Mus musculus: one gene and its partner. The protein of the gene in region 2 binds, or shares a complex with, the protein of the main gene of each other region. Each region holds a gene or a part of one and is shown on either strand. Other genes may lie near its edges.

Evidence for each region.
Region 1: the proteins of Lepr (region 2) and Lep are in contact, whole or in part, in a crystal structure (PDB 7Z3R), measured with the Mus musculus proteins. Residues at the interface, in NP_666258.2 of Mus musculus: Tyr439, Leu440, Thr441, Arg466, Ser468, Leu469, Tyr470, Gln499, Pro500, Ile501, Phe502, Leu503, Leu504, Ser505, Val560, Phe561, Glu563, Asn564; in NP_032519.1 of Mus musculus: Lys26, Val27, Asp30, Thr33, Leu34, Lys36, Thr37, Thr40, Arg41, Gln92, Gln96, Asn99, Asp100, Glu102, Asn103, Asp106, Leu107, Leu110.

The regions. Positions count from the first base shown.
Region 1 is NC_000072.6:29,058,736-29,063,079, reverse strand, and holds the start of Lep (leptin precursor), read right to left. Parts: upstream 2,860-4,344; 5' UTR 2,832-2,859; intron 1-2,831. UniProt on the Homo sapiens protein: Key player in the regulation of energy balance and body weight control. Once released into the circulation, has central and peripheral effects by binding LEPR, found in many tissues, which results in the activation of several major signaling pathways.
Region 2 is NC_000070.6:101,716,211-101,720,707, reverse strand, and holds the start of Lepr (leptin receptor isoform 1 precursor), read right to left. Parts: upstream 2,803-4,497; 5' UTR 2,770-2,802; intron 1-2,769. UniProt on the Homo sapiens protein: Receptor for hormone LEP/leptin. On ligand binding, mediates LEP central and peripheral effects through the activation of different signaling pathways such as JAK2/STAT3 and MAPK cascade/FOS.

The DNA of each region.
Region 1 (4,344 bases), on a different chromosome or scaffold from region 2:
TTTTCTTTAAGGCTTTGCCCTTGCTGCAGGTGATCTCTAGGGGATTTCAGCTCATTCTTCAAGTGCTGGCCACAGTATACAATTTGAAAATCACTGATCTTAGCAGGAGCAATTTTCTCTTCTCTGCAACCAAAGGCCTTGCTTGAGAAATCATGCTGACATTCTTAGCTGGTAGGCACAGTGTGGGTGAGGGGGTTATATTCTTTTCATTCCCATTAGGGAAAGCAAATAGATTTCAACTCCTGCATCAACTCTGATCAATTTTCAGTGACTCCCTGGAGCACTGTCCAAAGGGGATCTGGAGCTCCTGCCATGCACTCAGAGAGGAGGGGCACCACACTCTACTAGAGACGCCTGCACTTGGTTCAGCATCTACCAAGGGCCTGACACAGAGCAGGCATTTATTCAATTTTTGTTGAATGAATAAGTAAAGTATTCCCCATCCTTCATCGCTGACCAGGCTAACATGTTCCTAAGGTGGCTTCCCTCTGAAAAATCATCTTTCTTTGTTTTGAGATGCCCTCACATGGACCGGACTGGCCGTGAACTCTTTCTTCTCCTGCCTCTGTCTTTCTTGTGCTGAGATTGCAGGCATGGCCTGCCATTTTAGAATTTACTTTTGCCCCACAGAAATACCTAAGAAGCTGTCTTAAAGTGCTCCAGTGCCTGTCTTTCTCTCCCTCCAAAGCCTCCACATCTCTCCTGTATCCCTGCCTACCTAGTTCTGATTCCTTTCAGTCTTACCTCTGCTGTGTGCACTGTTATTCCCAGTGACTCCCCACCACCAACCCGTCTATTTCCATTCTATGTCTGTCCATTTCCAGCACTCTAGGTGCCCTGTCTTTGCCAAGGAACCCAATACTGAGCTTCCTATGCCTATTGTGTGGCTTCCCTGCAGAACTCTGTGGTACTCCTGAGGGCAAAGACAATGCGCACACAGATGGAGTCTTAGTCTTTGGTTTAGGTGAAATGTCAGCACAGACATGATTGTAGATCTAGAGAGCTCACAGACAGCAGGAGAGATGGGATCATGCAGTATTTTGTAGAGCAGGGCATGGGAAGCAAGCGCTGATCTGCCTGGTGTATCTGAGTGCCCTGTCTTTCCTTATAGTCTAACCTCTGCATTTCTGGAAGGCAAATGTATGGAGAGAGAATTCCAAGGCTGTGTCCATGGGCCAGAATGCTCAATGATATCCACCCCACAAGAATTCCATGTTCCTGGAGACCCTGCTCTATCTCCCTGTATCCTATGTGCCTCTAGAGGGATACAGGGTATGGGGTGCAACAATGACTGGTGCTCTGTAAAGGGAATTGTCTCCGGCAGCCATCTCTGCATCCCACATGGGTCACTCAGACATGCGAGGCATCTGCCCGGGGCTGATGGACAAGAATTTATTACAGCATCCCTGGCTCTGTCCTTGGCTCTTTGAGCTTTTTCCTGGAACACGGGGGGTGGGGGGGAAGGAGGAAAATATTCCCCCCAGATACCAAGAAGAACTTGTTACTTGGGTTTGAGATCTACCAAATATGAGAAGGATGCTTCTTTAGCCAACACGGGCATGTTCCCCTAAGCCCAGTATCTTGAGTGCTTGAGAAAGGAAAGAACCAAAAAAAGAAGTCTGAGGGGGAGAGAGAGAGGTGCTTCTCTCGTGCCTCAATGAAATACATGATCAGTGTGGTCCTTATAGTCACCAGGAGAGTGACTGTTAGACATGCCTCCTTTCAAGTTTGGTTCCATGCACCGTACAAATCAGCAATAGGTCAGAGATGCTCTCCCCCAGCCCCAGCTGACCACTGCCCATCACAAACTCTACGAAAAATATGACTCTCACTACTGGAATTCCATTCCCACCTTGCAAAGAGTGCTCAGAGAGCCTATGCTCCCAGGATGGTGCCACCAAATCCCTGCCCTCTGCCTGCCTCTCCTGAGTCCCATGCTCCCAATAGAAATGACTGGCTTGCTTTGTCCTCTCCCAAGCAGCAATGTACACAGGGCATCGTGGCATATCTAATGCACCCAGTAAGACATAGAGTAGTGTAAGGGCACCATACCCACAATGCAGTAATACTAACCCCAGCAAGAAAGAAAGCTGAAGGAGGGGCATGCAGGGACCTCAGGCTGGCAACGTGTATTTAACCATCTTGGGTAGAAATGCCTACCAGCAAAAACTGTGCAGGTTACAAGCCTTCTCCACAATCTGCTGTTCTGTTCCCCAAAGAAGAGAATTTGAATGGCTTTGGGACAGATGTGGAGAGAGCCCTAGCTTTTTTATTGTTGATGATGGTTTGTTTGGTTGTGTGTGTGTGTGTTTGTGTGTGCACGCTCAAGTTGGGGGTGAAGGTGGGAGGGGACTGGGTTCTTCCTGACAGTTTTTCTACCCACCTGTATTCAACAGTAGTTTTAGTACTAGGTAGGCCCTCACTGGAAAATGAACTCTCAACAGCAAAGCAAGGTTGTATCTGGCCTTCAGGAAGGCGGAAAGCTGTGGCTGCCTCACTACACGTCCAGCCTTGCTTTTTCCATCTGAACGCTGTGGGAAACCTAACCATCTCAAGTCTGCAGACCAAAGACAGGCTTGGAGCCCTGGCTGGCTTTGCAAGAACAGGTTGGTGCCCTGTGGGCACAGGCCGGCCCAGCCAGGAATTTAATGCCTTTCAGCTCCCAACAGCCTTCCCTCTGTCTGCAGAGTCCCTCGCTGCAAAACTACTGAATTCAACACCAAGCTGTCCACATGACCTCCTTCTTGCCTCAGTTTCTCTAATTTCCAGAGCTGGATGGGGTGCTATTAGAAAGACTGGTGGAGGAGAAAGTAGCGCGCCCCGGGCCTTACCTTGCAGCTGCTGGAGCAGGGATCCCTCCGGGGCTCCATGCCTGCCTGCCCCTCTTATAACTGCCCCAGTGCCACTTGCGCAACTGTCCGGCCAGCCCCAGTCCCTGCGAGCGCCAACTCCCGCCCCACCCAGCGGGCCAGCAACAGTGGCAGCAGCAACCTAGTGCTCCATTCTAGGCGCCTCGAGGGAGAACTTCAGCCGCGCCCTCGAGTGCAAGTTTGGGGGCGCTTGGTATGAGCCGGTAATCCTCGAGGTCCGGCCAGCAGCTACTGAGCAGCGGTAGTTTAAGGACGGGTCCCTTGGGATGGTGCTTCCAGCACCGCAGGGAGCAAGAGGCTACAGAAGGCTGGCTTGGGGACAGGGAGACCAGTGAGCCAGGACTCTGCCAGCTGCTTTTTCCGACAGCTCTTTGCATACCTAACCTGGCTGCTCAGAGGAGAAACTGGTCCCAAGCTCAGGGCAACTTGTCTTCCTTTGGTACCCGAAGAACAGTCGTCTCATTTCATCCTGTGACATCACAGAATGCACCTGCTTCGAAGGTCGCAAGTGTGTTTAGGGATGCTCTGGACCAGTCCCAGGGGCAGGTGGCAAGGGCCTGTCCCTGATCAAACAATGTTTGTTTGGTTTGTTGTTGTTGTTGTTTTCGGTTGTTGTTTTTTTTTTTTTTTTTTTTCATTAAGGCAAGAATATCATTGGGTTCCTAATGGGAGGAAACAGATACAGAACAGTTCAGCTTTCTGTCTTAAAACCTCAGCTAGTTGTTAAGGATTAGAGATAGCCAGGGATCCAGGTGTGAAACAACTGGATCAGGCCTATTGAGTTCACCCCAACTGAAAATAGCTTTGAAAACAAACCATCATCCTCAGAACCAGCCAGACAGTTACTTTGAGTAGAAAGACCCTGACTAACCCCTAAATCCTGACTGCCTGGTTTGGTACTACCCGGTACAAAAATAGAAATAGCATGATTTTTTTTATAAGACATTATTAAATGGCTGGGAAACAAACAAGAACAATAGTTCTGACATGAGAAGTTTAAGAAATTAAAACTTTAGCATCCTCAAATAAAGTTCTGAATTTGGTCAACCAAAAATTGTCTTGTTTTCTCTTGTATAAGTACCCACGGGGTAACCTTTATTTCCCTCTTGGCCTGCCAAGCGAGAATTGTTTGCTAACCTGCAAACTATGAAACCTACACACACCTGCGCTGGCTGCTCCTGGCTCCCAGTCCTGCCCGTCTCTTATGGGCGTTCCTGGAGTCAGGTCCATCCCTTCTGCCCACAGAACCCCCCCTGTTTTGCATAGGCCCTGCTCTCCACCACTGGCAGGCTTCCTTGTCTATGGACAGAGAACAGAGCCCTCTGCCATTTACTCTTGAAGTCCTGGTGCCTTCACAGCACCAACAGGAAAGATTTGCAGAGGTGACTTCCAGATTACCATGCACCACCCGGCTGTGCACTTCACTATGAATATTCTTCTAGATTTGAGGCACTGGAAAGGAGGGGGTACTTTC
Region 2 (4,497 bases):
ACCAAAGCAGACAGAAGGGTGGAGCCTGGGAAAAAGAAATTTGGGAAGCACAAACCATGCCACCCTGGATATCAGGGAGAAGATGTGGCAGCCCGGCCGGGACAAGGCTGCCAGAATGGAATGAACACTGAGACCAAATGGCAAAGCTGATGTCATCAGAGACCTACCTGACAGTTCCCTAGGCCTTGAAGAACTTGGGCAGAGCATTCAAAACTGTATAGGAATGAGTTTAAGAGGGGGGGGGGAGTAAAAACACAGAGAGTATAAAAAGCTCATTAATAATATTTTGCTTTGAATGGAAGCGAAGAAAATAACAATATTACAGACACAATATATAGCCTAAATAATCTACAAAAAGATACATTCAACATTCATGATTTTTTTTTCTTTTAAAATAGGCAAAAACAAGGCTGGTGGTAAGGAAGAAGCAAGCACCGAGTCTGGACATCGTCATGTTATCTTTCTTAAATAATGAGTAGAAAAGCTTTGCTCTTATAATTGCCCATTGCAATGATTCGCTATTTGGCTTACCAGCCAATACAATCATCTTATGCATTTCTCCCTATAGTTGTCAGGGTTCAAATGTTAAAAACAGCTAAAGACTAAGATCATGGGTGTGAAAAGACAACAGATATTTTGCAGATATTACTTAAAAGAGCTGCAGGTGCCACTCACTCGGCAGAGTGCTTGCCTAGGAAGCCCTGGGTTTGATTCCCAGCACTACATACACCAGGTGGGCCAGACCTGCAATCCCAGCATCCAGGCAGCAGAGGCTCCAGAAACCCAAGGCCATCCTCCGCAACGAAATGAGTCTGAGATCAGCCTGAGCTACACATTGTTTGTTTGATGGTGTGGGTGTGTGCTTCAGAAGAAATATTCTGAACTGTAAAAGATCAAATCCAAATAGAAAACCCCAAAAGCATGTATGTGCAAAGTCTGGCCAGTAGGTGAACATTCGCACTTTTCTAATTTAATTAAAATTGGAATTTGTAAATCACATAAAATCTTAAGAATTTGAACTGAGCGTAAGCCTTCTCTTCATTTTTAACTCCACAGGACATATTTTTTAGTATGAGTGTTTGCCTCTAAGGATAAAAAAAAATGCAATACAGTATCTGCCAAAAGAATTCATTTATTTTGGCTTTTCCCCCCCTTATTTCCAAGACCTCCCACTTCACAAACACAAACCATTTGGTCCTGTATTAGTGATCTAAGGGCGAAGCAATGACTGTTTTTCCTCGATAAAGTCATAGGAGAGTAGAGCCCCACATTGCAAAAGAGAAAAGGGTCTCTGCCAAGCTCCACAGCTCCCCAAGCTGTGAATGAGCTGGCCTGGATCTAAGAGGCAGATGCCTGCAGTGTTCCCCTTGTTTTTCAAGCAAGCACCAGCAGGGTATCTGAGCTCTAAGGCTCCCTAGCTAATCAGCACAGGATCCACTTCAGTCTGCTCAGTTTCAAAGGAACCGAGCCTCTGCTTCAGGGGGTACTATGAGGACCACAGAGAAACTGGTCGACGTTCTTCCCAGCCAAAAGACAGAGAAAGAACTGAAAATAAGTTAAACTGTGTTCATAAAGGAGTACTTCAAAGTCCTTTTGCTTCTTAGATTGCACACAAAGCATTTGTGGGTGGTAAGACATTATTTCATTTTAGACCATAGCCAACAAAATTAGCTAAAAATGCTTCTATGCCTAGCCTAACTGGCAGTGTCTAAATCCCAAACAATTTTAAAAATACCAACAGTAAAATATTTTATGTGGTTAAAAAAAAAAAAAAAAGCTACTGTCTCCTTCTGTGCCCACATATGTCAAGGTGTTCTGTTTTTCAAAAATTAAGCAAAAAGTACACTGCCACGTTATAGTACTACTGTGTGTGTGTGTGTGTGTAGTACTAATTTCTGATTGATCTGTTTAGTTAACCTCTACTATTTTCTGGGATTCATTCCAAGATTATTAAACATATCACTGAAGTTGCTGTCTCTGTTATTGAGATTCATTTCAGAGACACTCTGAAGTGGTCTGGAAAACCACTTCTTAAACATTCTGCACACAACTTTATGCTAAGAAGCCACAAGTGCCACACAGTATTTGATGAGAAAGCTACAATTTTTGGCTTTCTACAATTTTTTTCTTCCAAATATACAATACAAAAAAAAAAAAAAAAGTACTGTGTGAAAGCCACAGGTTATTTATGTAGTTGCGGTACTTCTTTCTTCCTTTTTCTATTCAGTTTTTCAGTGTTGCAGACATTGGCTTAAAGGTAACATGACTCTTTTAGTGCCAGGTGATCTATTCTTGTATTAATTATATATTTCCAAATTCTTTACAAATGCTATGTTTTCCCTACCACTATTAACTGAAAAATCCTGAAAACATTGATTGTTAATGCACATAAAAACCCCAACCCAAGACCAATGGAGTCTTTTAGTTTCATGAAATTAGCAAGATTAGCAATTACAGAAGTCTAGATTTTTAATATGAGGCACACCTGAGGTATTATTAAAAAGCCCTCTGAAATGAATCCAACCCTCTAAATGTGATAGACAAGAAACCCATGGAGGTTAGGCTAAGCACACACCCCTGAAGATAAATCGGAAACCACAGCTGAACCCAGGTGCTATGTTTCTGGGTCCGGAGCGCTGTCGCTGCGCTTGCGTCACTGTCTGGATACACACAGACCCTTCAGGCCCCTCCGAAGAACTCCTCTGCAGGCAGGAGTCCACGAGTAGCGTCGCGCCCCGACACCCAGTGCCTTAGATGGCCTCAACATACCTGGATTTGCAGAACGATTCCTCGGTCGGGTCTGGTTTTTTCCTCACCGCTGCAAATCCTTTTAAAGGAGTGCTCCGGCTGGGGCTCCGCTTGGGGCTCCGCTTGGGGCTTTGGTTGGCCGGAGGGCTGGCTTTTCTATTTGTTTTGTTTCTAATTTGCTCGGGAAGGGGGAAGAGGGTGGGAAACTTAACCCGCCCCACAGCACATTTTTCTTCCTTGTGTCTTTCAAACCAACCCACCCTCTTTCCGCCTCCGGGACTTAAGGGGTTGATGTCGCAGCCCCGGGCAGTTTCCAAAGTAGTCAGAGGCCTGGAGAAGTTGCGTGGCTCTCCGCAGGTACCGCCCCAGTCTGCTGCCTGGTCCCCAAACGCCCTGCGTCCTGCGTTGCCTTGGGTGGCCTCGCGCCAGGGATTGAGGACTAAAAGAGTGTCCCACCTGTGTCCCGGAGTGGCGTAAAGCAGGGATGCCTGGGCTCTATGCTGCTGGCTCAGAAGGTGCCGACCACTCGTGCGCGGGCGCGACGCTGCGGGGCACTGGCCACTCAGGTGACTGCGCGGCGGGGACGCTGCGCGCGTGGCCGAGGAGCTTGGGCGAAGCTTTGAGGGCTGATTCTGTCCTCTCTGGCCTTTACAGCAGCAGGTGTGGGGTATGCTGCAGTAATAATCGCAAGGAAAGTGCCAAGTGGGAAAGAGAACCAGGAAAGACCCTTACCCCCTACCCCTCCAATAGGACAGTCAGGAGCTCCCTATCCCCTGATGTGCATCAGCCATCACCTCAGCCTTACTTGTCCCAAAGGGAAAGAGGGCATTCCTGCATCTAGTTGATTAATGAACACTTCGTTTTCCATCCTGGAACTCAATGACATTTGACGTAGCAGGTTACAAAATAGATAGATAGATAGATAGATAGATAGATAGATAGATAGATGGATGGATGGATGGAAAAAAATCTGTCCTTAGAGAGTCAGAATCCAAACTCAAAGTACATTTGTTGCTCTCTGCTCAAAATGTGACTCACTCATCTGCTTACTTCCTATGTCTGTTTATTGAGGACTTGATGTATTACATTATTCTCTTTGAACTTGAGGAAGGAGGACATAAGCATTTATAAAATTCCCAGCTGTACAGTAGATCTGAAAGAGAAACAGTAAAGATGAAAGTGAGTAGAGATATTTAGACTGGGTAAATCCTCAGTTACAAGCAAAGGTCTCTCAAGGTTAATTTGACCATCGTTCTCCTAGGAAGGCCATCAAAAAACGGGCTCTACAAGTGAATTGCCTGAATTAACCCAGCCACCACAGGACTGAGAGCATAGCTCCTATCCCATGAGATGAGCCATTACAGAAACTGCCACCCCACCCCACAGGCATGGCCTTTCAGTGACACTGTTCTGACAAGTGGTGGCCCTGAGATCATATGTTAAAGCCACTTCATTCAGAAATGCCACTACTACCGCATAAAAGATTTCATGGGCATCTGGGGTAGGCAACATTAACCTAGAAATGCTAAGCTTTGGTGGAGGGGGTAAAGAGAAGCAAAGCAAGAGGATATGTGTATGCAAGTGCCATGAGGGAATCATGACTTTATATACTTGCTAGGAAAAAGAAAAGAAAAAGAAAAGAAAAGAAAGGAGAGAAAAAGAAGAGAAAGGAAAAGAAAGGAAAGGAAAAGAAAAGAGAAAAAAGAAAAGAAAACCTGTGCATTATAGAAAATGACTGCCTCAAGGAAA